Sus scrofa: one gene and its partners. The protein of the gene in region 3 purifies or fractionates together with the protein of the main gene of each other region. This does not show direct contact. Links are inferred from orthologs where the notes say so. Each region holds a gene or a part of one and is shown on either strand. Other genes may lie near its edges.

Region 1 (3,977 bases), on a different chromosome or scaffold from region 3:
CTGGACGGGGGGGCGGAGCTGCCTCGAGAGGTCACCACAAGGACTGGGAAGGCTGATTAAGGACCGCTTAGGGCAGAGAAGGACTGGCAGCATGGGGACCCCGCTGACTGCCCCCTACCAGGCCCTGAGGCCACACGGACTGCCCGCACTCCCACCTCATCGCCCCCACCCCGACACCCTGAGAAGCTCCTCCCAACGAGGTGGGGGGGCCCCATGTGGCTGTTGTCACCTCCCAAAAGACACACGCCCAGGCCTCCTCTGCTGAAGGAGGAGGGGAACTTCCTACCCCCTTTGAGGGGTTCAGCCCCCAGGGTCCCCTTTAGGCTCACCATACTTGAGGGTCCGGCAGACCACTGCCTTCTGCAAAGGCTTCTGGGAGCCAAGCCTATAGGCCTTCTTCAAGGCTCTCTTGGCAGCCAAAAAATCCCCAAGGTCTTGGAGGACCTGGGGGGGGGGAAGGGGAGGGAGGCTCGCAGGCTTCCGAAGGCCGGCCACCCACCCCCACCCCCCCCACCCCACCCCGGGAGCTGGGCCCGGAGCTGCCGGGAACCACTGGCACCTGCGAGATGAGCACGCAGCACTCGCTCTCCATGAAGCCCTGCTTCAGGAGGCGTGCGCACTCCCGGGCCCCCTCCAGGCAGCGCATGGCATCGGAGTGCTGCCCCTGACGCCAGTGGATGGCTCCCAGGTTGTAGCGGGCGCGAAAGAGGTCCTCGTAGAGGTGGTTCTGCCTGTGGGTGGGGACAGGCCCTCGTGCTGAGGCACTTGGCTTTGGGACAGCAGGGTGGGCACCGGAAGTGCCGATGTGCAACCTCTGATGCCATTTGGGATCCCAGCCCCCACGAAGCAGAGCCTGCTCTGGCCCCAGCCTGAGGCACAGACGTGCCAGGCTTCTATGCTAATAGGAAACTGCCAGGGGCAGAGGTGTGAGGTCAGCCCAGCCCCTTGCCCCTCGCTCCTCACCCCTCACAGCAGGGTCTGGGAGCAGCCTAGGGGGCAGCAGCTGCTTCCTCCAGGAACGGGGCGCTCGGCTCCCTCTAGGGGTCAAGTGAGGCCTTACTCAGCAAGAAAGATGCTCTTCTTCAAGTAGGCGCTGCACAGGGCGGCCTGCCGCAGGCTCTCGAAGGTGAGGCCCAGGTTGAGGTAGAGTCGGGTTCTCATCTCACTCAGCTCCCGCTTGGCCAGTGTCCCTGGAAGACATGCCTCCAGACACTCAGCACCTCGGCCCGCTGGGGCTCGCCAGCCTTAGGCCCTATCCAGCCTCTCGTAGGCACCAGGGGCTCTGCTGCAGTGTGGAGGGACAAAGAGCAGAGGCAGCCAGACCCCAGGCGGGGAGGAGCACAGGCCAGGCGTCCCCTCAGGGGGGTCCTGCCACACAGGGCAGGCAGGCGCTGGGGCTGAAGCCTCCTCTCCCCGCGGAGTTCGGGAGGTAGAAGGTGGGGAGAGCCAGGTCCCAAGGGCAGTCACCCTGAAGCTTCTCATCCACGATAGCCAAGCTTTTCTCGAAGGCCGCCTGCGCCTGCAGCAAGGCGTCCTCTGTCTGCTGGTGGTCATAGATGTCCAAGTGAGTGCGGCCAATGGTGGCCCAGGCCCTCTGTTGTTCAGTGTGGTTGGACAGGGAACGTGCCAGGTCCAGGTAGTGGTGCTGGTGCTGGGGCACAGAATGACCCCTGTGAGCCAAGCCCCACCTCAAGCAACCCACGCCTTCCCCAACTCCAGGGGGACGCCTAGAAGAGCTCTCCACTCCCCAAGCCCCCAGAGTATGCCACACACACCCGTTATCTCTTTGCCAAGGGCTGCCTGTGGGGACGGTAGCACCCCGCTCCAACCAGCCAGAGTCATCACCGGGGAGATGAGTGGGAGTTAGGGGGGCTGCTGCAGCCCCAGAAGCCAGGGACTAGGCAGCTCTGTGTAGAAAAAGTCAGGATTCCAACCAGCCCACAAACTCAGCTCCAGAAATATGTTCACGAGGGCTTTCTGCGGCCCGGCTGTGGTGTACCCATCCAAAGACCAGGCTGCCGTCGCCTGGCACAGGGTTCTCTGAAGGTGATGCCCAATGGTAGCGTGTCCCCCTCTCCCCAGGGGCCTGGACGGTGGAGGCTGTACTCCCTCCTCAGAAACGGACCCTCGGGCAACGCGGGCCCAGGAGACGCGGCCTCCACTCACCTGCAGGGCCTCGGTGAAGTTCTCCATCTCCGCCAGCCGCTCCCCAATCTTGCGGTGGGCCACCGCGCAGCCCAGGGGGTCGCCGGCGGTCTCCAGGAGCTGCAGCTCTTGCTGGTGCTCTCGCAAGGCTTCGGCGTATCGGCCTGGGCGGGCGGGGCACGTTCCAGTCTGGCCGGACAGGGGGCCACGGGCCGCGAGGGCCAGTGGGGCAGCGACCGGCCCTGGGCGGCACACTGAGCAGGCCCCCGCCCTGCCGCCTCCCCACCTCCGGCCCCTGGCCCCCCGGTCCTCCCGACGCCCCCCTCTCAGTCCCGGACTCCACCCCACGCACCATGGCTGGCCAGGAGCTCCCCTAGCTGGTGACAGAGATTAGCCTCCTCCCGCAGCTGCCCGCTCCTCTGCGCCTTAGCCTTGGCCTTGCTCAGCTCTGCAAAAAGAAGGACGAGGCCTGGATGCGGAGCCCCCCTGCCCGGGAGAGCCAGGCCCGCTCCCGGCCCCTGCGCTCGGGCGCTCGGCAGGGAACTCACGGCGAAGCTCGCGGTCTAGACTCATATTCCGGCAGCGGCGCCAGGGGCTCCAGACTTCCCGCGTTCTCGCGCCTTGGCGGCGGTCCCTCCCACTGGGGCGCCGCGCGCAGGCCCAGTCGGGCCTGCGGCCCGCGGAGCATCCTGGGAAGTGTAGTCCAGTCGTCCGAGGCATCCTGGGAGCTGTAGTCGTGCTGGCGCCTGGCCCGGAAGGGGGGCGCGGGGCGGGGCGAGATGGAGGGCGCCTCCCCAGATTCCTGGCACCGCCCCTCAGCCCGCAGCTGCCCTCGAGGTGGGAACTCCGGGGCTCCCACCCCTGCTGCCACTGTCCTGCCAGCCCGCAAACTTACCTGCCCGTGCGGCTTGATCTGCGGAGCGCACTGCCCTCGCGTGGGAGAAGAGGACGGAGTCTGGGACCGCAAGCACTTGAGTACTTGGCGTAATCAGAGGTGTCCCTGTCACAGAACCCGTGGAAGAGCCTCGAGCGCGCCACAGTCGTCACGTGTGGGGCTCCTACCTCCAGGGCCGGGGTCGGGGGTGGGGAGGGAAGGGGACTGTTTTCCAAAATGAACTGAGCAAAATGCTGCTTCCTCGATGTGCACGCCAGCCAGTTGTTTTCCTGGAAAACTCGGGAGTACAGCCTGCAAACCTGTTTTGTGCTGAGAGGGAAAAAGGAGCAGGAACGAAGCCCACAGCGCTCTAGCCGACTTCTCAGCGCAGGAGGACACGGGGGCCCCTGTGGTCGTGGGGCACCTGGCCTCAGAACTCGAATGCCTGTCCTGTCCTTTCCCCCACACCTTGAGAATCAAAGACCTGCCAGACCTTGGGGCTCTCAGTCCCTGGCCTGCCACGGGGCCCTGGGCACCCCGAAGGCCCCAGAGGAGGCCTGGAAGAAGTGGGCAATGGGCAGTTTTATTTTCTGTGGATATGGAAACAAACCCAGTGGGGTAAAACTCTCTGCCAGTGGAAGGGCAGCAAGGCCTGCTGTTGAGGGAGTAATAGGGAGGTTGGATGGGTGCCAGGTCCAGAGAAGGAGGAGCCACAGGAAGTGAGAAGTCGGCCACAGGTGGCCCTCCTCTGTGGCTCCTGAGTGATGTGGTCCTCTCTCACCCTGCCCCCAGGGGCCCAGAGGGCAGGACAGGAGGCCCTGAAACCAAGGTGGATGACTGGCAGGCAGGCTGGTGAGATGTGAAGGGCAACGGGGGAGACAGCGTGGGGAGGGGGCGCTGAGCCACAGAAACCCGGGCAGAGGGCGGAGGGCTCAGGGCTCCTTCCCACTCCGGCGCC
Region 2 (3,500 bases), about 9.3 Mb from region 3:
GCAGATTAATATGCAGCTTTTGGGGAAGATTTTTACAAATATCAAAAAGAACTAATCAAGCATCCTATATAAAACTTTCCAAACCTCCAGGGAGGTCTGTGAAGCAGGACAAAGTGCTCTTTACAATAGGAATCAGGACTTTCAAGTATCTGAGAATACCCTAACCATTCTACATACATACACAGGCCAGTCCTGGTGCTCAGGAAGGGCTGAGTGAGCTGGAGGCCACAAGGCTCTCACTGGTGTCCATTGCCACAGACCCCCCAGCTCCAGAAGTGGTTCCACACGTGGCCTGGATGTCTGCAAGGCAAGAGAGGGAGGGACTTCAGCCACCGGCTGGCTGTCGGGGTGGGCAGCTAAGTGGGTGGTCCTGCTCCCTCACTAATGCTTAGGCTGTCCACCTCGTGCCTGTGTGCTTTCTGTAGCACTGTTCAGCAGACTTTACACTTGAACCTCCAGGTTTGCCCATGGCAAAGATGAAGAAAGTGGGCAGCAAGGACCAGTGGTGTGCTGGAGCTCACACTGATGAGAATTGCTGGTCTTGGGCTCCCTGCCCCTGGGTAAGCTGGGTTCAGAGGCTTCCCCTCAGTACTGCTGGTTACCCAACCCTTTGGACCCTCCCTCCCTGACAAAGCTCGTCACCACCAACTTTCGGGTCTTTAGTTTCTTACACGTAGCTTTCAGACCAGGGCAAATGCTCTGCCCAAACTAACATCAGACCAGCCTGCCCTGGCCTTCCAGGGCCTCCTCACTCAGTCCTCATTAGTCACAAGAGGCAAGTGGGGGAGTAGCAGTACCCGCTCTTCCCTCTCCTGCCAGCTTAAAGGAAAAGAGGGTTTGGGACCCTTCTCACCCCCAACATCTGAGATGTCCATGATCACACAGTCGCCTTCCTCCTCCTCCTCCTCCTCTGTGTCTGCTTGGAAGCCGTCTAGGTCTCCAGCTCCGACCTGAACAGACAAGGGTGCACAGCCATCAGCAGCAGGTGGGGACGGTGTGACCCTCCCAACACCCGCCTCTATACACCTGACCTCTTCTACCCATTTTGGCAACAAAATTTGAGGAGTTTGTTTGAAAGGTTATGATCAAAGGAAACCTTGGGGATGCTTGTCTCAAATGAACTAATTATGTTCAGATGTCTGAAAACTATGCCCATCGTTATTTACCTTACTAAAAAAGTGGCTTATTTATTGTTTTGTTGTTGTTTGTTTGCTGTCTAGGGCTGCACCCACAGCATGTGGCAGTTCCCAGGCTAGGGGTCAAATCAGAGGAACAGCTACTGGCCTACACCTCAGCAACTCGGGATCCGAGCCGAGTCTGCAGCCTGCACCACAGCTCACGGCAATGCTGGATCCTTAACCTACTGAGCGAAGCCAGGGATTGAACCCATATCCTCATGGATACCAGTCGGATTCGTTTCCACTATGCCACAATGGGAACTCATGTTTGTTTATGGTTTTTGAATTAGAATTCTGTGTTTCTGGTTTGGTTTGAAAGAGATTGATAAGGCACACACCTTCTCTGAATTATTGTTTGGAATAAGTGGTTGAGAAGTTAATTGGTCAATGTTTTCTTCTCTGCCCAACAGCTTAGTCCCCTCTGCCTGAAGCTTGCTAATTCTTTAATTTAATTTATGCTCAGGCCAGTTTGGCCCATGAGGATGCCACTTGCACCGTGTGGTCAGAGGTCAGGAGGGGCAGGAAGTCCTCTACTGAGGGTAGAATTTCCAATGACATCCCCAAGCTGTTTTTTGGTTTTTGTTTTTTTAGGGCCACATCCACAGCATATGGAGATTCCCAGGCCAGGGGTCAAATCGAAGCTGCAGCTGCCAGCCTACACCATAGCCATGGCAACACTAGATCTGAGCCACATCCACAACCTACACTGCAGCTTCCAACGCGAGATCCTTAACCCACTGAGCAAGGCCAGGGACCGAACATGCATTCTCATGGATACTAGTAGGGTTCTTTACCCACCGAATCACAATGAGAATTCCTCCCAAGCTGTTTTCACTGGCTTTCACCAGAGGGAACAGGGACAGAATGTGTAAAGTAATGGAACCAACTTTACACACTGACCATCCTCACAAACACTCTGTACATGAACAAAGAACTAGCAGAGGTTGTGGTGCTAGGCTATGTCTCAAAACACTTCTGGAATTTCCTCTGCAAAGAAAACTCCCTTTGCCTTTAAGGGATGACAGCACTAGGAGACCATCTGCTTTGCACCTGGGCTGCCTGGCCTGGCCGGCAAACTGGGCTCACACCCGCAGCCCCCAGTTCTAGCATAGGAGCTCGGCACTGGGTCCTCAGGCTGGGAGCCACTGAGGCAGGAATGGCCCCGAATCACTGAGAGGACGCTGCAGGCAGTTTCTACCTGAAACAGGTAGAACTGACTGGCCCAGAGCAGAGAGAGCAGCTCTCAACCACACTGACCTAGAGGTTTGGGTTGGGGGAGCAACAGGACAGACACACGGATGGATCTCTTTACGGGCCTCCCTGTCCCTGGGGACTGAGTCCCTAGTCCCTCCGTGCTGAGAGCTATCAGCAGCTTGTTGCAATGGGACAGCTCCACTTGCTGCTGTTGCTACCACAGGCAGAGGGTGCAAAGCTGCAGAGAGAGCCTCAGGAGTTAGGGAGACACTTAACAACCACAAAGAACTGAGACTGGATAACACTGTTGTCCTTTTGATCACAGGATACTTTTGGCTGGAAGAGGCAAACAGAGCCCCTCCCCATTTAAAAATAAAAGCAAAGCCAAAAAGCTGAGTCACCATGGGAGCACACATAACTTGGTGGCAGAACTGGCACCTAACATCCGCTTGTCTGCCTCACTAGATCATGGTACCTTGTAAGCACATTTGAACTCTGAATGAAAATATTAAAAAATTCCCACAAATAAAAAAAAAGCCCAACCCCATCTAAAACATTCACATACATTTAGTTTGGCAACAATTATCCCCAAGGATGTGGAAGTATCAGTTAGTGGCTTTACCAAAATGCAAAGGGAAGCATCCTGCCTGCTCCCAGGCCCCTAATCCTGCCTTCAGAAAGCTGTACCTGTGACCCCCGTTTGACCCAGGTGCTGTGCGGCAGCAGGCTTGCTCCATGCACACCCAGAGCTATCTTCCCATGTGCCCTTCTGGAACAACCAGAATCTTGGTGGTGGTGGTCAAGGTCTTGTTGCCCTGGCTTCTCTTGCAGCTGGGGGGGGGCTGTGCCAGAGCTTTCTGGCTGGAAAGACAGAGGTGGAAGTCTGCTTCCCCTTCCAGCTAAACAAGGGTGCTCCCCTGGGAGGGCTTGGCTATCCTTGTCCTGCTGCCTGGAGGTGCAGCAGCCATTCTGCGACCAGGAGGACAAGGCCATAAACTAAAGCAGGAGGGAGTCGGATACAGGGGGAGCCTGGCCCTGGACAACAGTGTTTATATGCTCAGGACATGTTGCTAGAGACAAACCCCATGCATTTAAGGGGACACAGGGGGGTTTGTACCTGAAGCCCAC
Region 3 (3,967 bases):
TATCATTTTCCCTTTATTTATAATCATACATATGAACCTTGGCTTGTCTATAGCATGTTAAGTGTGGGTCAGAACATCTGGCTCTAAGACTTATTCAAGCAGCATCCGTTGAATTTCTCAATTAAATAGGGGAAAAACACATCTAATGTATTGAATGTGGACTCATGATTTGCAAACATCTATTTCCAGATGCTAAGAAGAAGAGAGAGCAAAAGAGGTTCAGAGCCCTTGAGAAATGGGTCAGACTGGGGGCTGAGTGTTCAAATCTTCAGTTACCAGTATCTGAAGTCACTAGGAAACAAGACTGAGATTTCTCCAGGATCTGAGAGAATTCTAAAGCCAGACCCACTCCATCTGTTTGGGAGGCAGGAAACAAATTCTCTCTGCTCTGTGGGAAGAGGCAGAAAGCAAGTTGGCAGGTCAGAGTCAAGGATAGCCCTAGAGGTACAACAAAAGACTCTACATTTCCAGGTTTTCTAACTGGAATTTCTCTGAGCAAAAGCTTCACTGTCCAGGTATAATTAATAATAGCACCACCTTTCCCTCTTTTGACAGTGTTTTCATGTGGAAATAAAATCTATGGTCAGTCCTATTTACATTCCACAGGAGAGGCCTTTCCCTGGTTACAGAAAGATAAAGAACTTTGGACAAAGAACTCAGAGACAAGACCTAGTGTCAATAATTCTACAAACTGGCTATGTGACCTTGGAGAAATCATTCCATTTCTCTCTATTAAAAGATAATGACCGGGGATCCCAGTGTGGCTCAGTGGTTAATGAAGCTGACTAGTAACCATGAGGTTGCTGGTTTGATCCCTGGCTGAGCTCAGTGGGTTAAGGATCTGGCGTTGCCGTGAGCTGTGGTGTAGGTCGCAGATGAGGCTTGGATCCATCGTTGCTGTGGCTGTGGTGTAGGCCGGCAGCTGTAGCTCCAATTTGACCCATAGCTTAGGAACCTTCATATGCTGTGGGTGCAGTCCTAAAAAAGAAAAAAAAAAAAGAAAGATAATGATCAGCAGGTTGACTTTAGCCTTTCCTGTGCTGATTCTAGTAACAGATTAGTAAAGTAACAGGAGAGGAACTTTGTAGGAGTAAATGTACTAGATAATGACCATGCAACCATGTTTAACCCCGAGGATCACAAACAGACATACTGAAACTCAATCTTCTGCCATCTGGCTCTGTGAATCCCTTAACCTATTAGCTCCTTACATCTCCTCCTAGCTTTAAAATGAAATCTTATTCCACAGGGTGATTCTTCACTTTATTTATTTACACTGTCTTGTTCCAGAAAGGATTTAACTGGGCTTATACTATAGTCACAAGTAGATTCCTTAATTTAGAAAGGAGAGAAACAGGGAAGATTGATCCATTGGCCCAGTCTAAGCACACACACACACATATATCAAAAGGGTTATCAACTCCAGGCTAGACCAAGTGGCTAATTTGCATGCAAAGCACACACCTACCACTGAGAGGTGCTAGTTAGCACACCCTGGCCTCACAGATCTCCACCTCCTTAGCCGCTGCCTCTTAACCACTAAGTGGAGAAGAGGTCTAATGGAGTACTTTCTCCCGAAAGTGGTGCCAAAACTCTCTGAATGACCTTAGATTTTTTTTTGATTTTTATAGAAGTACAAAAAAGGTGTTTTACTCTTTGTGGATCCCATGCTCTCATCTGTGAGATGAGAGTCATGTCCACCTTTGTCACACAGATGAATAAGTACATCTATAAAAGCGCCTTGAAAAAGATGCACAAAAGGTTGTGACCTCTGAGCTGATTGAAGCCAGATACCTTCATGGCTCAGCCTGGCATACCCACCCTCCAGATTAGGTCAGACCATCAAAAGTGGGGGAGAATTGCTACAGTAAGTCAGCAGGAATCTGGCAGGCAAATGGTAAGAACCAACTTATGCTTGTTTGGCCATGCTTCCCCAGGTAGAGCATCAGCAAGCAGGGAGGAGATTATGGGAAGACAGATGGGAAGATGGGGGTGAGTGAGGTCTTGTCACAGGGGGAGAGGGTCTTCATTGGGAAAATGGAACAGGGGGCTGAAGTTGCCATATAGGAAAGGGGCGGGAGCTGGGGTTTCCATAAGGAAAATGGGAGGGTGCTGAGGTTTCCATAGGGAAATTGGGAGGGGGCTTGGATTTCCATAGGAGAAATTCGAGGGGGCTGGAGGTTGGGGTTTCCATAGGAAAAAAGTGAGATGGGAGTGCCTCACCACAGGGGACAGCCTTTTGGTGGGGAGGACTGAATGGCTGGAATGGCGGCTTGCCCCTAAATAGTAGGTAGGTAGGGGCAGTCTCTTGCTACAGGAAAGTCAGGGTGGCTGACGGTCTCTACCTAGAAAACGGGTACCCAAGAGGAGAGCTACAGGAAAAAGAGGGGGATAATGAGGTTTTCACGGGGGAAAACGCGAGTAACCATAGGGGTACGGTGAAGGGGTAGTTTCCCAAAGGGGAGGTTAAGGCTGGGGGTGGGTGTTGGTTTACGGGAAATCAGATTTGGGGGAGAGGGGGTGTTTCACAGGGTTGTCTCCAAGGGGAGGGTCGGGGCGGCCCAGGGGAGGGGGGTCGCTCCACGCAGGCCCAGTCTCACCGTCCGTCAGGGCCTCATTGCACTCGAAGCTGATCTCGAACCGGAAGGGGCTGTGGAAAGGGCTCGGATTCTCCAGAACAGCCACGTTCAGCACCGACACCTTAGCCATTGCCTCGTCGGGCCGAGGCTGAAGCCAGAGCTGGGGCCAAGACTACGTTTGGGTCTTGTCAGGTCAGCAGAACAGCGTTACCCAAAACTGCTCGCGCCTCCTCCGATCGCGGTCTGAAGAGCTAATCTTCTTCGCGCGCCTCCTTCAAATAGCCGGCCCCACCCTCCAGCCAATCACCGTCAACGCTCCCTGGCGGCGCGAGCGCCCCCCCAGCCAATCCTGGAGCGTCGGTAGGCAAGCGCCGAGACTCCCGAGACCAATCGGTGGAGCTCCCTCTTCTGGATGCGGGAGGGAGGCGGGACAGTCTCTTGGCTTCTTTGGGAGTCCGCCGGGAACCAATCCCTAGAGTCTCCGACTCGAATGTCAAGGGCGGGGTGGGCGGGGTCAAAACGCAGGGCTCTTCTTGGCCAATCCCGAGGGTCCCCGCACTAGCGCTGTCCGGACTTAGCCCCGCCCTTCCGGGAGGTGCTTCCAGCCGCGGGCAGCGCCGCCAACCGTCAATTGGTGGCGCGCGGCGCTCGCCAAATCCCCTCTTAAAGTGCGGGAAGGGCGGTGCTTGACCTGCGGTGATTGGCAGGCAGGGGTGGGGCGGGAATAAAGCCGATTCTCTGAGAGTTTATTGGCTGAGTTGACCTTGGGGGGCGGGAGGAAATAAGACTCGGTGGGGGATTCGTAGGAGTGGAGCGGAAGTCGACTGCCGGCGCTGTTGAGCGGGGTGTAAGAAGAGAAAGGAAGAGCGTTTGCGGCTCTGGAGTCTCAGCAGGTGAGCGTTGCCGGAAGTTTCTCTATGGGTCTCCTGGCCCTTCAGGCCCAGCGGCCCGGGAGTCCGTTGTGAACGTTGTGAACGTTTAACCCATCCCTGAAGGGAGACGGTGTGACAGTAACGGGGCTCACGGGGGCCTGGGTCGCGGGAGTCGGGCTTGGTTCGAATCCGGCTTTTTCCCCTTCGAGAGCCTCTGGGGAGGTTTCAGGTAGACACGCTGTAAATGAGAGTTCGAGTCCGGCCTCTTCCACTTACCTCTCGAGGCCACCCTTCCCCGCGCGTTGAACAGGGTCATGAAAATTTACTGGCAGGATTTATGACTGCATAATACATCTAGAAACTTTACTCCCACACTGGGGCTGGAGCGCCGTCGCCCCCTGTCTGGAAGACTGTAGGGACATCCGCACTCACTCCCTGCTTCCACCTGTGACAGCGCACCTAGTTTTACACTTTTCTGAAGTTAACCACGTTTTTTAAAAAAGTTTAAAAAGTTAA
Region 4 (4,043 bases), on a different chromosome or scaffold from region 3:
CCTGTGCAGGGGCAAAATCCCCTGCAGTCTGAAAGACTGCAAACATCGTTCTAAAAACCCAAATTTGTGAAAACGTAATTCAAATCAGCTTCGGGGTGTTGGTGGCCTGTGCACAGGCCCCAGTTTAGCCAACCAGGGAGGCCCGGCGGCTTCTGCAGTCAGAAAACACCCGCGGCCTCTGCAAAAGTCCCCCTTTGCCTCCGACAAACAACACCTCGGCTCCACCAGGCCCCAGGAAAGGCTAGTCGGGTGGAGGGAGACCTTTCGAGGTGCACACAATTGCATGCCTGCGATTATCTGGGAGACTTTGAGGGCACAGTAATCTCTCGAGACCAGAAACCATTTTCCTCTCTCGCTCTGAGATTGTGCCTGGCTAAGCAGCAACAGCCTCCCTGCCCCCCTCCTACCCCCCACCGCCACGGCCACGGCCGCTGCAAGCAGCCACGCCCCGCGGCCCCAGGGCTCGCCGCCCCGGGGCTCACAGCCCCCACGCAGCTTGCACGCCGCACCTCCCTTCGCCCCACCCCCGCGCGCCCCCATCCGCCCCCGCGGCCGGCCCTGGGAGCGCCGGGCGAGACCTCGCGCCTGCGCCTCGCCAACTTCCTGCCGCGAAACGTCCCGCCCACCCTCCAGAAGCCCGCCTCCGAACGCCGCGTGAAACCTGCCTGCTGCACGTGATTGGTCGAAACCACCAAGCCGTTGGCTCCCAGGCCCGCCTCTCCACCGCCTCTCACTTTTCCCAGGGCGGATGCGCCTGCGCTCAGCTGCCTGGGCGGGCTGGGAGGCGCGGGTTGAAAAGTCTCGTTCCAAGTTTGGAGAGAGAGAGAAGAGCGTCTCAGACCTCGGTACCCGCAATCGGGGAGGAGGTAGGAGAGAAGGACGCGGCGTCTGGGGAGCACCCAGGCTGAAAGACGGAGCTGAGGCTTCGAGAGCTGGAAGTGTGTGACGCGCCTGGGAAAGGCAGGAGCGCCTACTGTTGGGCTGCTCTTGGCTAGCGAGGGGAGTCCGAGGCGGCGGCGAGGGGCAAACGACCCGACGCAAGATGGCGAGTAAAGAGAGTAAGAGGCCCTGCGGGGCGGCGCGCGCCGGGGCGGCGGGGGCGGCGGGCGCGCGAGGCCGCGGCACGCGCCGGCGAAAGGCGCGAATTGGCGTGAGGAGCAGGGGGCGGGGCCGGGCGCGAGGCTGGGCGCGCGCCTCGAGGGGCCTACGCGGGACGCGGCCGCGGCGCGGAGGGCTGCGAGCACTTCCGGAGCCGGGCGCGGGGCCGCGATTTGGGCCCCCTCCCCCCCCACCCCGCCACCCCCTACCCCCTCCGGCGGCGGCGCTCTCGGTCCCCGGGCGGAGGCGGCCTCCGTCGCCGGAAAGCGGGCGCGGCGGCTTCTTCCACGCGCGCGCGGCGGCCGCCTCGGGGTCGCGGCTCTTGTCCGGGGGAATTCTGGAACCCGTGGCTTATGGCTGCCGACGCGGGCTTCGTGGGAGCCGAGGCCTCTCCTGGTGGGGGATGGAGGGAGCGGGCCGATGGGTTTCTGCTACACGTGGATTCGTCTCGCCGGGTGGGTCGGGGAGCCTCTTTACATACGGCTCGTCATCTCCGAACAGGTGCGGACAGCTGTAGCGGCAAAACATTTGCGATGTCCGTGTAATTAATTACCCGATTCTGTATTCGCAGGCATTATTGATTTCAAAGTGGAGAGGGAAAAAAAAAAAAAAAAAAGCTTCCTGGTGTTAATATTCTCTCCACGTTGTGGACGAGCAGTTCGTGTCCAAATTAGAGAGAGAGGAGATTAGGTGTGGCCATCTCGAGGTGACCTCCGGTATCTGTGTACAGGTTTTGTTTTCGATCCCTCTCCGCCACTTAATCGTGTGGGCTTTCTCCAAATTTCAGTGTTTGAAGATACTGTGGAGGAGCGTGTCATCAATGAAGAATATAAAATCTGGAAGAAGAATACACCGTTTCTGTATGACCTGGTTATGACCCATGCTCTTCAGTGGCCGAGTCTTACCGTTCAGTGGCTTCCTGAAGTGACTAAGTAAGGGTTTCTGGCACCTTTTATTTTGCGTAAATTTAACTGTTGTCCTGGATTTCCTACTTTTTGGCGTTTTCTGTATGGAACGTAAGCATGTAGTTAGTTTAGCCCTTGGGTGAGGTGGCAGGTGATTTTTATTTTTAAAACTTAAGTGATTTGGGGGTTGGTTTCTGGCGTAATAATGTGGCGCTTAAAGGGGGAGAAAGAATCTGTTGTGAGATTAATGTTATTTGCGGGAGGCACCGGATATGTTTGACATTTATTGGGCATTAACATAGAGCAGCATCTTTTTGGGTGCCAGACTGGTGGGATTTCTTTAAAAACTTTATGGGAAAATAGCGTGCCTAGGAGTTGCGGCTGTGGCGCGATGGGATTGGCGGCGTCTCTGCAGCGCCAGGACGCAAGTTCTATTCCTGCCCCTGCAAAGTGTGTTAAAGGATCTGGCATTGCCGCAGCTGCGACGTAGGTCGAAACTGCGGCTTGGATCTGACCCCTGGTCTGGGAACTTGCATATACCGCGGGTGTGGCCATTAAAAAAAAAGAAGAAAGAAAACAGCTACGTGCAGAAAAGTGCACAAGTCATAAAATATGGCTTGATTAATTTTTGCGAAGCGCACACATCCTTGTAACCAGCCCCCAAGATAAATACGTGTTAATTGCAAAGGGGAAGAGAACTGAGCAGCAGTTCACTACCGGAAAGGTGGGGTTGTTGGCTTATAGTGTGGGATGGGATACACTTTGAAATTGCTCTTGGTCCTCTTAAGAGTATTCTTTTCAATTCTTTGTCAAATTCTCCGGTGATAACTACTGACATTTATTGAGTACTTAGAATACGGCATGGCACATCTCAAGAGTTTTGTGTCCTGTTATTTGGTTTAATACAACAGTAGAATAATTACTTTTTATCATTCTTGTTTTACCAATGTGGAACCGGGCTGAAATGTTGAATAACATGCCCCAGATCACACAGCTGGTAAGCGGTGGAGTGGGCTTTTGAACCCAAGCCAGGTGGCCCCAGAGTTGTGGCAACCTCTGCCCTAGGTTATCTTTTTCATACAGTTGCACATTTCCTAATAGAAACTTGGCCATGCACTTTTACAAGTGTGTTAAATTGTGAGCATATAATTTAATGAGGATTAATCCAACTCGAGAGAGGGAATTTTGTAATGTAAGAAATAAGAGTAAATAAATTACCTTCACATAAAACCGATATAACGGCTGGATTGTCCATATGCGAACATTGACTTCTACAGATAGGGACTTCCATTGGGCTTACCCCAAAATCTCAATGTCAATGTACAGCGGGAAGAAGAGCCGACAACTAAACACTGCAGACTTCTAAGTATTGATATTTATACCAACTTTGACCAGGGTATTGAGGTTCTGGTTTAGAGCATTGTGTGCGTTTGGCTCTTTGTTTAAAACTTCAATTTACATTTCCTTGGATCTTTTTGACCTAGTGTAACAATAGACAAGATGGAGGGCTTTAAGGTTAGAGACCTGAGTTTGAATCATGCCTCCTGCTTCTTGGCTTTGTGAATGAGGGCAAATCGGTCAGTCTCTATCCCCGAGTAGTCTGGTCTGTAAACAGAGGTGTTGGCGGTTCTCACTGCCTACATTTGAGGGAATAAATAAGATCACACATGTTGAAGTGCTGGCTGATGGTAATTCTGCCACCCCTTCCTATTGAGAAATAATTTGTTAGGGTGGAATAACTCTTCATTTGTATTTGAATGAAGGCTGCTTCTTGAAATCTTTAAAAAATGTTACCCACGATGTGGTTTGTGTAAAGGTTTTATTTATTTGGTGTGTAAAGATTTGAAAGATAATAGTTCTGTGTGTTTTCGGCCCAGATGTTACGTTTATATTAACACTTGGGAATTTAACAGAAATTAAATTATGTATTCCATGGTGTTCTCTGCATATGAGGAAGTGGGATCTGGTTGTGGGATGTGCAGTGGCTCTGGGAATGCAAGAAAATGCCAGCCAGCCTGCATTCTTGGGTGTTGAGGACAG
Region 5 (4,054 bases), on a different chromosome or scaffold from region 3:
CCACAGCGGGTCCAGCAAGAGATTCCCAATCTCCTAGCCAAGAGCTGGGGCTGACACCAAAATCAAAACATCTTAATGATAGTACTTCAGACATCCTAAGATGGACAGAAAGCCCCAGAGTAAGATATGAAGGATGGAGATGGGGTGGGGTGATATGTGTCAGAGGGCACTCACCTTGCTCTTCACTTTGACCAAGAATGTGAGGCAGCAGAGAATACGCACACGTATTGCGTCACCCAAGGCCACATTTTTAGCCACCTGCCCAGAGACCAACTCGAATCAGAAACAGACAAGGAAACTCTCATCAAAACAATCAGCAGGGACAGCACCAACCCCGGGCTCACCTCCAGGCAGAATGTGAGGACCTCTGAGAGGTGGGAGGTGATGATGGGCACCTCTGACTCCAGCAGTTCATCCAGGGCCTCCAAGGCCTCACAGGCCTTTGCCTGCCAGAGAGAGAAGTCACAAGGCTTCAGTGCTCTCCTCTGGTGAACGAGGAGGAACACTCCCGCCCTTTCCTTCCAACAGAGCTCCTACCGAACGCTCTCACCTCATCTACAGGGATCAAAGCCTGCACGGCCGTGATGAGCCTGGGCACCAACATCCGCGCAAGAGGCTGGAGAACACAGGACAAGCTGAATTACAGAAAGCACGATGCAGCCTAATCTCAAGCTCGAGGATCTGGCAGCCTCCTCGAAGCCTGGATGTAGGAGAAGCCCAGGCAAACCCACCCACAGGATCCCCTTTCAATTGTTAGGCAGGACAAAAACCAGAAAGAATCTGAAGTACCTCTGGGACTCGCAAGGGTGAGGACATGAAAGCCCAAGGACAGGGAGCCAGGGTAGGTGAGGGACCATATCTCACCACATCATCAGTGCCGAGATAAGGAGCCATGGTGGTCAGAGTGCGCAGGGAATAGAAGAGGAGCCCAGGAGAGCCCACCTCACCCAGGGTCTCATTCAGAAGCCGAAGAAGCTCCCGGTGGTGGGGTCGGAAGGCTTCAGGCCGGGAGGTTACCACCACACTTAGCAGCAAAAGCCCCATCTGCCCAGGAGAAACAGGAGTTGAGAGGGAAAAGCTTACATGGTCCATCCAGCCTCTAGGTCCCTTCCTCCCACCAACCATGCGCTGGTACCTCTCTCTCTGGGATGTGGGGGCTGTGGGTACTGTGCTGAAGAAGCTGCATGAGCTGAGGCCAGGCCTCCAGGCCTTCCTTTCGAAAAATGGTAGCTGAGAGCTGGGCCAGGCTAAGGCTCACAGAATGCCTGCAAAGGGAGAGATTCCCCACCCCTAATCACCCTCCAATACCCTCCCCTGCACACAATGGCCCTGCCTCCACCGGGTGGCCACAAGAGAAACCTCCAGATGTGGGCACAGGGTCTCTGCCAAATTGGAACACATAAGGCAGAAGCTCAAGGGGAAGCCAGCACCATGGTGGGTGTGCAATCTGGTGAGTTTGACATCACCCATACTGAATTTCAGTTCCATTCTTCGGACTCGGTTTTGACAAACAATCACAGCCCATGCTAAAGAACTTTCCTCCTTGGTCTAGAATTGTAGTCCCTGCCCCCCAAGATCCAGCCTAGAGCTGAAAAAGAAGGTAGAAACCTGAAGAAGGTCTCAGCCTGGAATCAGTTAGGACCCCGAGAGGGGGCTCTAGGCACTTACTCTGTCTCTCTTTGGAGGGCCGACAGGATCAGGGACTTGAGGCTGGAACACAAGTGGCAGGTGTTAGGAACCCAAGAGCCGCCTCAGCCTGGCCCCGCCCCGCCCCTGGCCCAGCCCACCTCTCCCGTTGCTCCACCACCAGCCGCCGCCAGCCAGTGCTCAGTCGTCTGCGGGTCAGCACAGCTGCGAACTGCCGGATCTGGGATGAGGAAGCAAGCATGTGAGGGTTCCGGCAGGGAGAAGCAGCAGGCATGTGAGGGTCGGAGCAGGAAGGCGCGGGACGCCGGGGGCTGGAGCTGGGGCTGGATAGGTAGCGTACTAAGGGCAGCTCAGCGGGAAGGGGCAGGAGCCTCACCTGAGGGTCGCCCGCCGAGGTCAGCAGGTCGCAGAGCGCGGGCAGGGCAGTGGGGTCCCGCAGAGCGGTCTGGAGCTGTTCGGTGGCCTGGGGAGAGCCTAGGGGTCAAGAGTCAGGCCGTTCCCGCAACCCTCCTCTCGCCCCGGCCCGGTCTGGTCCCGCCTGCCCCAGTACCCGCCGGATGCGGTCTGTGTCCGGCAGCAGCAGCTCCTGCAGTATCTGTTCTAGGCCGGCAGGCTCCATGGCAGCAGCTGAGCCGCCACTACCGGCCCGGGCGGGGGGAGGGACAGCACGTGGAGGCTCTATAACCCATTTCCGGCGGAAGGGGCGTTGCTCCGCGCCCCTCCCGTCGCCAAGGTGATTCAACTAGCTTCCCGCAGAGCTCCGGCTCCGCCACTTCCGTTGGGCTGAGCTCCGGCTGAGCCGCTGAAACAGGGCCCTGGTAAGGGAGGTTCCCCCAGCCGAGGGTTCCCAAGCTCCGTGGAGAATTCGAATCCCGTGCTTTCCGCTGCCGACCCGGCTTTCTATGAGACAGTGCCCTTAATGGCAAGGCACGCGTTTCGATATCCAGACCAAATCCTCCAACTACAGTATCCTTTTTCTTAATAAATTTTATTTTGGCATTGTAAAAAGAAAAATCAGGAGCAAAACTAAAGGCAACTTAAAAAGTTCAAATATATACTCCTTATATAATAGAGACTTATAATTTCCAGGCCCTCCCTGGGGAAGGAAGGCCCAAAGGGCAAAGGGGAAGACAACAAAGCCATCACACAACTCATTCACTCAGTCAGAAAAGATGACGGTAAGAGATCGATGGGGTATGAAGAAAGGGAAAGAAGAGCAATAGTTTTGCCACCCCAAACTCAGTCCATCTTGAGGTTAACATAGATATAACGGATGAACTTTAGGGAAGAAAAAAAGGAGATGGTGCCCAGCATGAGGAAGAAGACGTATCCAGTGAGTAAGGAGTAGCCAAAGAACTCTACCGTCTGTACTACCCCTGACATGTTGGAGCGCCGGGCATAGTAGAAAACTGAGTAGAGGAAGATGAAGAGCCCAGTGGAGCCAACACTCAGCACAGATCGCCACCACCAGCGGTAATCCTCCCCAGACAGCTGGAAGTAGGTGAGTGCGATGGAGATGCAAGCCCCCACACTCAGCAGGATGGCGAAGACGAAGAAGAGGATGCCATACAAAGTGTACTGCTCCCGACCCCACACTGTGGCAAAGATGTAGTACAGCTCCACAGAGATGGCACTGTGAAGAGAAGAGACGATACACAGCATTAAAGGGCTGTGTGTTGCCAGCAGTGGCCAGGCAAAAATCCAGCCACCACCCCTCCATGTTATTGGATCACTGTGGAAAGCAGGTCCACTCCACTCCCTACCCTGGAGTTTCTGGCTTGATGGCGATTCTTTTACCTATGATTAGCTGCTCTCATTTCAAGAACATCTTTAGTAGGTTGAGAACAGGTATCTTATCTGTTTTACTTTCCCATTGTATTTGCCTGGTACTGAGAGGCACTCAAACCGAATGAGTATTCGAATGGGCTTTAAGCTCCACATGGTGTCCCTAAAGTCAGAAATGAGGAAGATGGTTTAAGGAGCAATGTCTCTGGAAAGCTTTACAAGTGAGACAACCTCATATTTGAACTGACTGATTCAAGCTCAGTCCTGCTTAGAGAAAGGAGGAATCACTTAGTGATCTCTTAATGGTAATAGCCGAACTGGGGATTACTCCTGATACTGGGTTAGGGTATGGGGTGAGTAGGGAAGTTAAGGCCAAGAACCTGAGAGTGATGGCCATGGAATAAAGGGAGGATACCTGAAAGGCAGGAAGCCTCCAACAGTCATGTGGATGAGAGTAGACTTGTACCAGGGCTGGGGCGGGATTTCCCGAGCGATGTTCTTGGTGCGACAAGGTGCATCAAACAGGCTAGCATTGTTCTTCCCGAAGATGCCTCCAATGACAGTGAGGGGAAAGCCCACCAGCAGCCAAACCGTCAGAAGCAGCAGGATGGTGGTGGCTGGC
Region 6 (3,500 bases), on a different chromosome or scaffold from region 3:
AGACCAGGAGCTTTTTTGCATCTTTATTTAAGAGTCAAAACTGCAGACAGGTAACACTTTCAACTGTTGATACTTTGTGTACAGAATGGTTGAAATACAACAGATATAACTCAAATCAGCCAGTCTCCCCAGATTCAACCAACCACATCCAGGGTGTCCATCAATCAAGTCCCTCAGCCACTTTCAAGCCAAAAGCTCAATCCTCTACAGTTAACACACACTTTTTCCTCAAGGATCACTCCCCTCCTCTGCTCAGTTTCCTTCAGAGTTCTTTTTCCAGGACAGGATTATGGCCCCAGTTGGAAACCTGGTGGATAAAAGACAGGTGCCACCCAAAGCCTGGCTTAGAAGCTGTTACATCAGCTCACTGTCAAAGTCTATCAAACAGTATCAGCACCAAAGAGCAACATCTTCACCAAGTCTTGTTTTTGTAAGCCCTATCCAGGGTCAGCACCATGCAACATTTGCAAAGACAGCTGGGTTCAGTAGAGTATAATGGAAAAAACATAGCACCATTGGAAGACAAGGGCCTGCAGCACACTGGATTTCATCACCTCCACGTCAGACAGGATCTTGGATTCAAACTTAACACTGAGATCAGTACAGAAGAGGAAAAAAACCAAAAACCTTTGGCCACGATATAAAACCTGGAGTGCACCAAGGCACCAAGATAGCCAATATTTAAGAAAAAAAAAATCATCAAAGCCTCAACCTTTGCTTACAATCTTTATTGAAGTTATACAAAAAGAATCCCCCAAAAGTGAAAAAATACATTATATACAAAAACACTTTCCATTGGGAGGAAGGCTCTACTCCCTCTCTTAACACGCAGTGCTCTCAACTGTGGCTCCGGCCTCCACTGTCCCCTCCACTGCTGCCCGGCTCTCAGCCTGATTCTCAGCCTGGAAGATAAACAGGGAGCCTGGGCATAAATGACCACAATTTAAGCCATTTTTTTCTCATACAACTGTGCAAAGGAAGTAAATACAGGTCCCTTAAATTCTGCTTTGCTCCCTACACTAAGAAAGCAATGGCCACAAACTGTAAGGCCATTTCCTAAACTCTGCAGCAGGGCTGGACAGAACCAGTGTTCACACATCATTAGATGGAAAGAGGAGAAAGCACAAGTGCCCGAACGGTCCTGCCTGCTGTCTTCTCACACATTCATTATGCAGGGACCTCTGGGAGGTGTATGGATTCCATTTGTCAACAGACACCCTCCCATTTCATAACCCAACTGTTTTCTGCACAGCCTCATTGTTTGCTGGTTTTGTTTTTGCTTATATTTTGGGTTTTTCTGGCCACGCCCATGGCATGTGGAAGTTCCCATGCCAGGTAATGAACCCTCACCATGGCAGTGACATGAGCCACTGAAATGACAGCACAGGATCCTCAACTCACTGTCCCACAAGAGAACGCCACAACCTCACTTTTTTTGGTTTTTCCTTTTTGGCTGCCACTGGAGCATATGGAAGTTCCTGGGCCAGGGATTGAATCTAACCTGGAGCTGCGACCTATACCACAGCTGCAGCAACGCCAGATCCTTAAACCCACCGAGCCAGGCCAGGGATCAAACTGGCACCCCCAGACAAGTTGGATCATTTACCCACTGTGCCATAGTGGGAACTACATTTTTTTTTAACCCACAGCCTCACAGTTTTTATGAGCATTGCACCCCAGCAATCCAAACAGGCTCAGGTGAGGAACATGCATGTGGGAGGAGGAGTTTCCCCAGGCCCTGAGAACAAGAGGAAGCGAGGAGGCGAGAGTCCAGACCCTGCTTAACTGCCCACCTCCATGTTTTCCGAAACTTCGGTTCCACTGGAGACAGCATCCCCGCTGCCTCCATTCACCTCTGGTTCTTGTTTGGCTTTCTTTGCATCATCTTTCCGAGGGCTCTCTTCCTCTGGTTTCCTCTAAAGATACAATTAATTGTGGAAGCTTAACGAATGTGCTTTTTTAAAAATGTTTTTTTAAGGACAACTATAAGCAATCCCCAACACCCCCTTCTTCCATATGGGGCAGAGATCCCAAACACAGGCGCCTCTGAGAGCCGGAAGAGCCAGTTTAGCCTAATGCAGAGGCTGGGTGGGGGTGAGGAGTAGATCTCAACAGTAACCAACCCCCGGTTTGAAATCCTGTATTTGAGTTAAGAAACAGAGCAGGAGGTAAAGTTTTCCCCTAAGAGGGAAAAAATCTACTGCAGCAGGCAGAAGGCCAGCTCACAAAAGCTTAAGCCTCGGCAGGTCAAAGGAAACCTGCGAGCTTCCTAAGACGGGCTGATCTGACCAGTCGTCCTCAGCAGCCTTCCTCGTCACCCTTCGGCCAAATAAGAAAGGCCAAGAGTTTGAAACTCCAGGATGTATTCGACTGACAAGCGTCTTCGCTGGAATCCTCCCGCCTTCCCGACGCGTGTTTCATGTCACCACATGTTAGAGGTGAGCCTCACACATCATTTGGAGGAAGAAACTGTAGAGTGGGAAACAGAAACGACCACAGATTTACCTTCTTTCTGACAAGATGGGAAATATCAGTCACACAGTTTGATGAGGAAGCACCATCAGCTGGCTTTCTGCTGGCAATCTGGCAAAAAGGAAGCCTGTGTTAGCAATGCACTGCTACATATGAGACAAAACCAAGGCTCATATGTTAAGTGACAAAAATCACCGGAATACCCACCATGGCGACGGAAGAGCCTCCTCCGCTCGGAGTAAAACCCGAAGTCGAGCTTTCCACCTGCGCAAAAGAGGACAAACCCCAGTGGGTCTGGGTCCCAGGATAGAGCCCACCAGCTCATCCATCTACCAGCAACTACGACGTCCAATTCTAGTGCCTTCCACAGACGAGCAGTATCATTTACCCCACACTGTCACCCATGCCTCCCACACCCCCGGTGGGGCCTTGGAGGGTAGAGAGTAAATAAATTAATATTCGAGCAGCCAAAAGCAGAGCCAGGCAATCTGGGCTTAAAAGCCTTCACTATCTCTCTATACAAAGGAGTTCTCAGATAAGGGAGTAAGTCTGCAATAAACAGCAATTTCTGTTTGTCTTATACTGTCAGAAATATTTTAACATATAGGTACCAATATCCCCATTTTAGTTACTGAGTTCTCACATTCCTGCTGACCTCCAGCTCCCTGCAAACCAAGTCATGAGTAAGATTTCTAGCAAATGGAACACTAACACCATGATAAAGGCCCTCATGATACTGAACATGCTATTATCAAAACATTAATAAAAGGAAACCAAACCAACCAGAGTTGCTTTCAGAGCCAGTTCAGCTACATTCCCGCTCCGCTGGGACTCCTTTGCATCCTCTATCTTCTCTTTAATTTCTGGGAGCAGCTCCTTCAGCTCCTCAATTTCTTTCTCATATTCAGCAGGTGATCCTTCGGCCTCCTTCATCTGCTCATTCAGTACAGCTAGAAAGAAAAGGCTCAAGTCATCAGTAATAGGTACAAAAGGAGCCTTGTTTTTTAAACTGCCAATCACTGGATCCA
Region 7 (3,500 bases), on a different chromosome or scaffold from region 3:
GCATAATCTGTGACCTAATTCGAAATCAGAAAATCACTTTGATTAGTTATAACAATAAACACTTCAGGCTATCTCAGGCATTAAGAAATTATTTATGGCTAACAAACTCTAATATGCCACCGTAAGATGTATTAATGGGTTCAAGTTTCTGAGAAAAGTTTCTTCAGTTTTAATCAAAAGTTTAAATGTATACCTTTAAACTGCTCTAAGACTACTCCTGAAAGAATTAACTGATTTAATATTTTTTTCCTTTTATGGCCACACCCATGGTATACTGAAGTTCCCAATCTAGGGGTTGAATCAGAGCTGCAGCTACACAGCCATGGCAATACGAAATCTGAGCTGGATCTGCAACCTATGCTTCAGCTCACTAGATCCTTAACCCACTGAGCCAAGCCAGGGATCACACCTGCATCCTCATATAGACAATGCTGGGTCCTTAACTTGCTGGGCCACAAGGGAGAACTCCAGAAATAACTGATTTTAATATGACAGAAGTAAGACTTCTAGGGCCCTCAGTATATGACAGTCACTATTGCCCTAAGTATATCCAGAAGCAATAATTCATGCAACCCTCACAAAAACCTTATTAGGTAAGTAATATTACCCCCATTTTACAAATGAGTAAATTGTGGCCCAGAAAGATTAAGTAAGTTGTCTAACATCACAGTGATTAAGTAACAGAGAAAGGATTTGAAGATTTTACCTTCAGAGTCTGTCCTCTTAGCCACTACATTATGTTGCCACTTATGAATACATGAAGATAATCTCATAGAATTGTTATTACCATTGAAAAAATAAAATCATACTAAAAATACATAATTTACTCTCAAATGGTACAGGAAAAAAAAGTAGAGATATATAGAGCAAATGGTAAAGCAAATGAGGCAAAAAGTTAATATGTGAACTGAAAAAAGACTATTGGGGTACTATATATACTATTCTATTTCCTGCAACTTTTCTGTAAGTTTGAAATTATTTTCAATTAAAAAGTTAAAAAACTAATTTAGTATTATGTACAGACAGAAATATATGAAAATCAGACAACTCCCAACAATGGGGCTTCAAAGAGGAATGGGTTAAATACATAGATTTGTGAAGGAAAACAGCCAAACTCGAACATAAAATACAAAAACTGCCTAAACATTCGTATTAATGGAAGGCAGCTCCCCATAGATTTGTGAAGGAAAACAGCCAAACCCGAACATAAAATACAAAAACTGCCTAAACATTCACATTAATGGAAGGCAGCTCCCTACCCTCCCTGCTTTTCTCAGCTGCCCTGGCAGCATATGGAAGTTCCCGGGCTGGGAACTGAATCTAAGCCAGAAATGTGACCTAAGCCACAACTGCAATAATGCCAGATCCCTAACCCACTGCAGCAGTCCAGGGTTCAAACCAGCTCCTCCACAAAGACAAGCTGGATCACACACCCACTGTGCCACAGTGGAACCTCCAGAAGGCAGCTTTTATTTTGAATAATATTTAAAGTTTTGCTATAAACAAGAAGCATGCATTGGGCCTAATGTAATGCAGGATCTCCATGCTCAGCAGTTAAAAAGTACGATACAATATTACCTTCTACAGAAGGACATTTTGTAGTTCTGTGCTCATCTAAGACGTGCAATGTTGTTAAATATTTAAGTCTAAGTAACTCTAATACTAACATGTTAAAACCTAAGTAAATCCACAATTTTACATTCAATCTTAAAACTACTACATAATTAGGAAAAAATGTGACACATGTAGTAACTTGATAGGAAAGTACAGTACAGGAGGGCAAATGACTCATAATTTAAAATAAGAAAAAAATTCCTGTTTGGCATTCTGATTCTTTCCAATACTCCTGGAAGAAACAGAAAACAATGAAAAAATCTTATAGAAACCTTGAAGCATATGGTTGGGAATTTACTGTAATATGTTTCCTCTTTTATTTGAGAATTTAAAAACAGTAACAAAAACAAAAAACTTGATGTGACTCTATTTTGAGTTGCTTAATAAACCTTTGTCCAAACCTGTGGCACTGAGAAAGAAAAAATCACTGCCAAAAAAAAAAAAAAAAAGTCACTGCCAACATATGCACCAGTTCTTCAGGAGTATATCCTCCAGGTTTGGCTCAACTACTCAAATTGGAAACAACAAAGGAAGACAGCACATGTGATTACCTCATTACATTCATCCACAAGTATAAAGAAGAGATCAAATCGGGACATGATAGGAGCTGACAAATTTATATTCTGTTTCAATGACTTTGATCTGTCATAGTGTCCACTGATCGGGTTTGCTGCTGCCAAAATGGACGTCCTGGCATTCAGAGTAGCCTGACCACAAAAGGAAAAATTGTGATAGGTTTAAAGATAATTGGAATGGCCAATAAGCATACAACAAAATGCTCAACCTCACTAATAACTAACTAAATGCAAAACAAAATAATAAGATTACCATCTTTCACCTTCTGAATCATTAAAATTAAAGTCTGATAATAAAGAGAAACAGGTACCCACTCCCATATGATGTTGGTGGTATAATGTACACACCTTTTTTTTTTTTTTTTTGTCTTTTTGCCATTTCTTGGGCCACTCCCGAAGCAAAAGGAGGCTCCCAGGTTAGGGGTCGAATCAGAGCTGTAGCTAACAGCCTACACCAGAGCCACAGCAACACAAGATCCAAGCCGCGTCTGCAATCTACACCACAGCTCATGGCAACGCTGGATTGTTAACCCACTGAGCAAGGGCAGGGATCGAACCCACAACCTCATGGTTCCCAGTCAGATTCATTAACCACTGCGCCACGACGGGAACTCCAAATGTACACACCCTTTAAGCCAGTAATTTCTTATTAAGAAATTACTTTGCAGCGAGGTATGGGAAAATGTGTCTAAGGACATTTATTATAATATCATTTAGAATACAAAAGGCTGGAAATAACCTAAATGTCACTGTATAAGAGCCTACTAAGCCAAAATGGGATATATACAATTGAAAATCATGCAGTAATAAAAAAACTAAAGTGGATCTAACATGTACTGGTATAGAAAGATTACCAAAATAAAATGATGGAATTTAATGAGCAAGCAACAAAACTGTATGTTTATTATGCTTATTCATGATAAAACATTCCTAAGAGGGGCACAAAGTCAGCAGAAACTTCTGAGTATCTACTGGTGCTGGAAGCTGTAAGGGAAGATTTCTCTTTTTAACTTCTATTTTAAAGTACTGCTTATGTTTTTCTTAACTGACCATATTGCTTTTATTCTTAAAGTTTGGCTTCTCTCTAATGCTAGTTACAATACTGTATTTATTATTTTCATTTAAATAATCTGTTGACTTTCATCATTTTGGTTACAAATGGAAGTACCCTTTCTTTATCAAAGACTATAGAAGCTCTGTGGAAATTGTGAAAGTACTAAAAATTTCACCAGTACTTCTACTTTGCGTCATAGCAATAATTTTCACAGTACCGTAAACAGCACCTATAATTTGGATTAATAATTCTCAGGG

The links.
Region 1: the proteins of ASF1B (region 3) and TONSL purify together in Homo sapiens (affinity purification with mass spectrometry; 5 studies listed by BioGRID and IntAct, counting the BioPlex papers as one, with this or other methods). This does not show direct contact. The link is inferred for Sus scrofa from reciprocal best matches to the Homo sapiens genes ASF1B and TONSL.
Region 2: the proteins of ASF1B (region 3) and CHAF1A purify together in Homo sapiens (co-immunoprecipitation; 7 studies listed by BioGRID and IntAct, counting the BioPlex papers as one, with this or other methods). This does not show direct contact. The link is inferred for Sus scrofa from reciprocal best matches to the Homo sapiens genes ASF1B and CHAF1A.
Region 4: the proteins of ASF1B (region 3) and RBBP7 purify together in Homo sapiens (affinity purification with mass spectrometry; 4 studies listed by BioGRID and IntAct, counting the BioPlex papers as one, with this or other methods). This does not show direct contact. The link is inferred for Sus scrofa from reciprocal best matches to the Homo sapiens genes ASF1B and RBBP7.
Region 5: the proteins of ASF1B (region 3) and IPO4 purify together in Homo sapiens (affinity purification with mass spectrometry; 5 studies listed by BioGRID and IntAct, counting the BioPlex papers as one, with this or other methods). This does not show direct contact. The link is inferred for Sus scrofa from reciprocal best matches to the Homo sapiens genes ASF1B and IPO4.
Region 6: the proteins of ASF1B (region 3) and NASP purify together in Homo sapiens (affinity purification with mass spectrometry; 5 studies listed by BioGRID and IntAct, counting the BioPlex papers as one, with this or other methods). This does not show direct contact. The link is inferred for Sus scrofa from reciprocal best matches to the Homo sapiens genes ASF1B and NASP.
Region 7: the proteins of ASF1B (region 3) and MCM6 purify together in Homo sapiens (affinity purification with mass spectrometry; 4 studies listed by BioGRID and IntAct, counting the BioPlex papers as one, with this or other methods). This does not show direct contact. The link is inferred for Sus scrofa from reciprocal best matches to the Homo sapiens genes ASF1B and MCM6.

What each region holds. Positions count from the first base shown.
Region 1 is NC_010446.5:348,815-352,791, reverse strand, and holds the start of TONSL (tonsoku-like protein), read right to left. Parts: upstream 2,801-3,977; 5' UTR 2,719-2,800; coding exon 2,694-2,718; intron 2,594-2,693; coding exon 2,498-2,593; intron 2,310-2,497; coding exon 2,167-2,309; intron 1,652-2,166; coding exon 1,468-1,651; intron 1,191-1,467; coding exon 1,061-1,190; intron 732-1,060; coding exon 560-731; intron 445-559; coding exon 330-444; intron 1-329. UniProt on the Homo sapiens protein: Component of the MMS22L-TONSL complex, a complex that promotes homologous recombination-mediated repair of double-strand breaks (DSBs) at stalled or collapsed replication forks.
Region 2 is NC_010444.4:74,380,876-74,384,375, forward strand, and holds part of CHAF1A (chromatin assembly factor 1 subunit A), read right to left. Parts: intron 951-3,500; coding exon 854-950; intron 301-853; coding exon 200-300; 3' UTR 1-199. UniProt on the Homo sapiens protein: Acts as a component of the histone chaperone complex chromatin assembly factor 1 (CAF-1), which assembles histone octamers onto DNA during replication and repair.
Region 3 is NC_010444.4:65,062,019-65,065,985, reverse strand, and holds the start of ASF1B (histone chaperone ASF1B), read right to left. Parts: upstream 2,801-3,967; 5' UTR 2,710-2,800; coding exon 2,601-2,709; intron 1-2,600. UniProt on the Homo sapiens protein: Histone chaperone that facilitates histone deposition and histone exchange and removal during nucleosome assembly and disassembly. Cooperates with chromatin assembly factor 1 (CAF-1) to promote replication-dependent chromatin assembly.
Region 4 is NC_010461.5:13,313,721-13,317,763, reverse strand, and holds the start of RBBP7 (histone-binding protein RBBP7), read left to right. Parts: upstream 1-1,243; 5' UTR 1,244-1,451; coding exon 1,452-1,599; intron 1,600-1,885; coding exon 1,886-2,030; intron 2,031-4,043. UniProt on the Homo sapiens protein: Core histone-binding subunit that may target chromatin remodeling factors, histone acetyltransferases and histone deacetylases to their histone substrates in a manner that is regulated by nucleosomal DNA.
Region 5 is NC_010449.5:75,108,590-75,112,643, reverse strand, and holds the start of IPO4 (importin-4), read right to left. Parts: upstream 2,801-4,054; 5' UTR 2,267-2,800; coding exon 2,198-2,266; intron 2,111-2,197; coding exon 2,024-2,110; intron 1,868-2,023; coding exon 1,788-1,867; intron 1,711-1,787; coding exon 1,669-1,710; intron 1,266-1,668; coding exon 1,136-1,265; intron 1,045-1,135; coding exon 865-1,044; intron 617-864; coding exon 551-616; intron 447-550; coding exon 345-446; intron 259-344; coding exon 175-258; intron 1-174. Other genes in the region: TM9SF1 (transmembrane 9 superfamily member 1), read right to left, coding at 2,887-3,280, 3,848-4,054. UniProt on the Homo sapiens protein: Nuclear transport receptor that mediates nuclear import of proteins, such as histones, RPS3A, TNP2 and VDR. Serves as receptor for nuclear localization signals (NLS) in cargo substrates.
Region 6 is NC_010448.4:165,773,956-165,777,455, forward strand, and holds the end of NASP (nuclear autoantigenic sperm protein), read right to left. Parts: intron 3,423-3,500; coding exon 3,256-3,422; intron 2,737-3,255; coding exon 2,680-2,736; intron 2,584-2,679; coding exon 2,506-2,583; intron 1,917-2,505; coding exon 1,794-1,916; intron 903-1,793; coding exon 822-902; 3' UTR 9-821; downstream 1-8. UniProt on the Homo sapiens protein: Component of the histone chaperone network. Binds and stabilizes histone H3-H4 not bound to chromatin to maintain a soluble reservoir and modulate degradation by chaperone-mediated autophagy.
Region 7 is NC_010457.5:15,947,638-15,951,137, reverse strand, and holds part of MCM6 (DNA replication licensing factor MCM6), read right to left. Parts: intron 2,322-3,500; coding exon 2,166-2,321; intron 15-2,165; coding exon 1-14. UniProt on the Homo sapiens protein: Acts as a component of the MCM2-7 complex (MCM complex) which is the replicative helicase essential for 'once per cell cycle' DNA replication initiation and elongation in eukaryotic cells.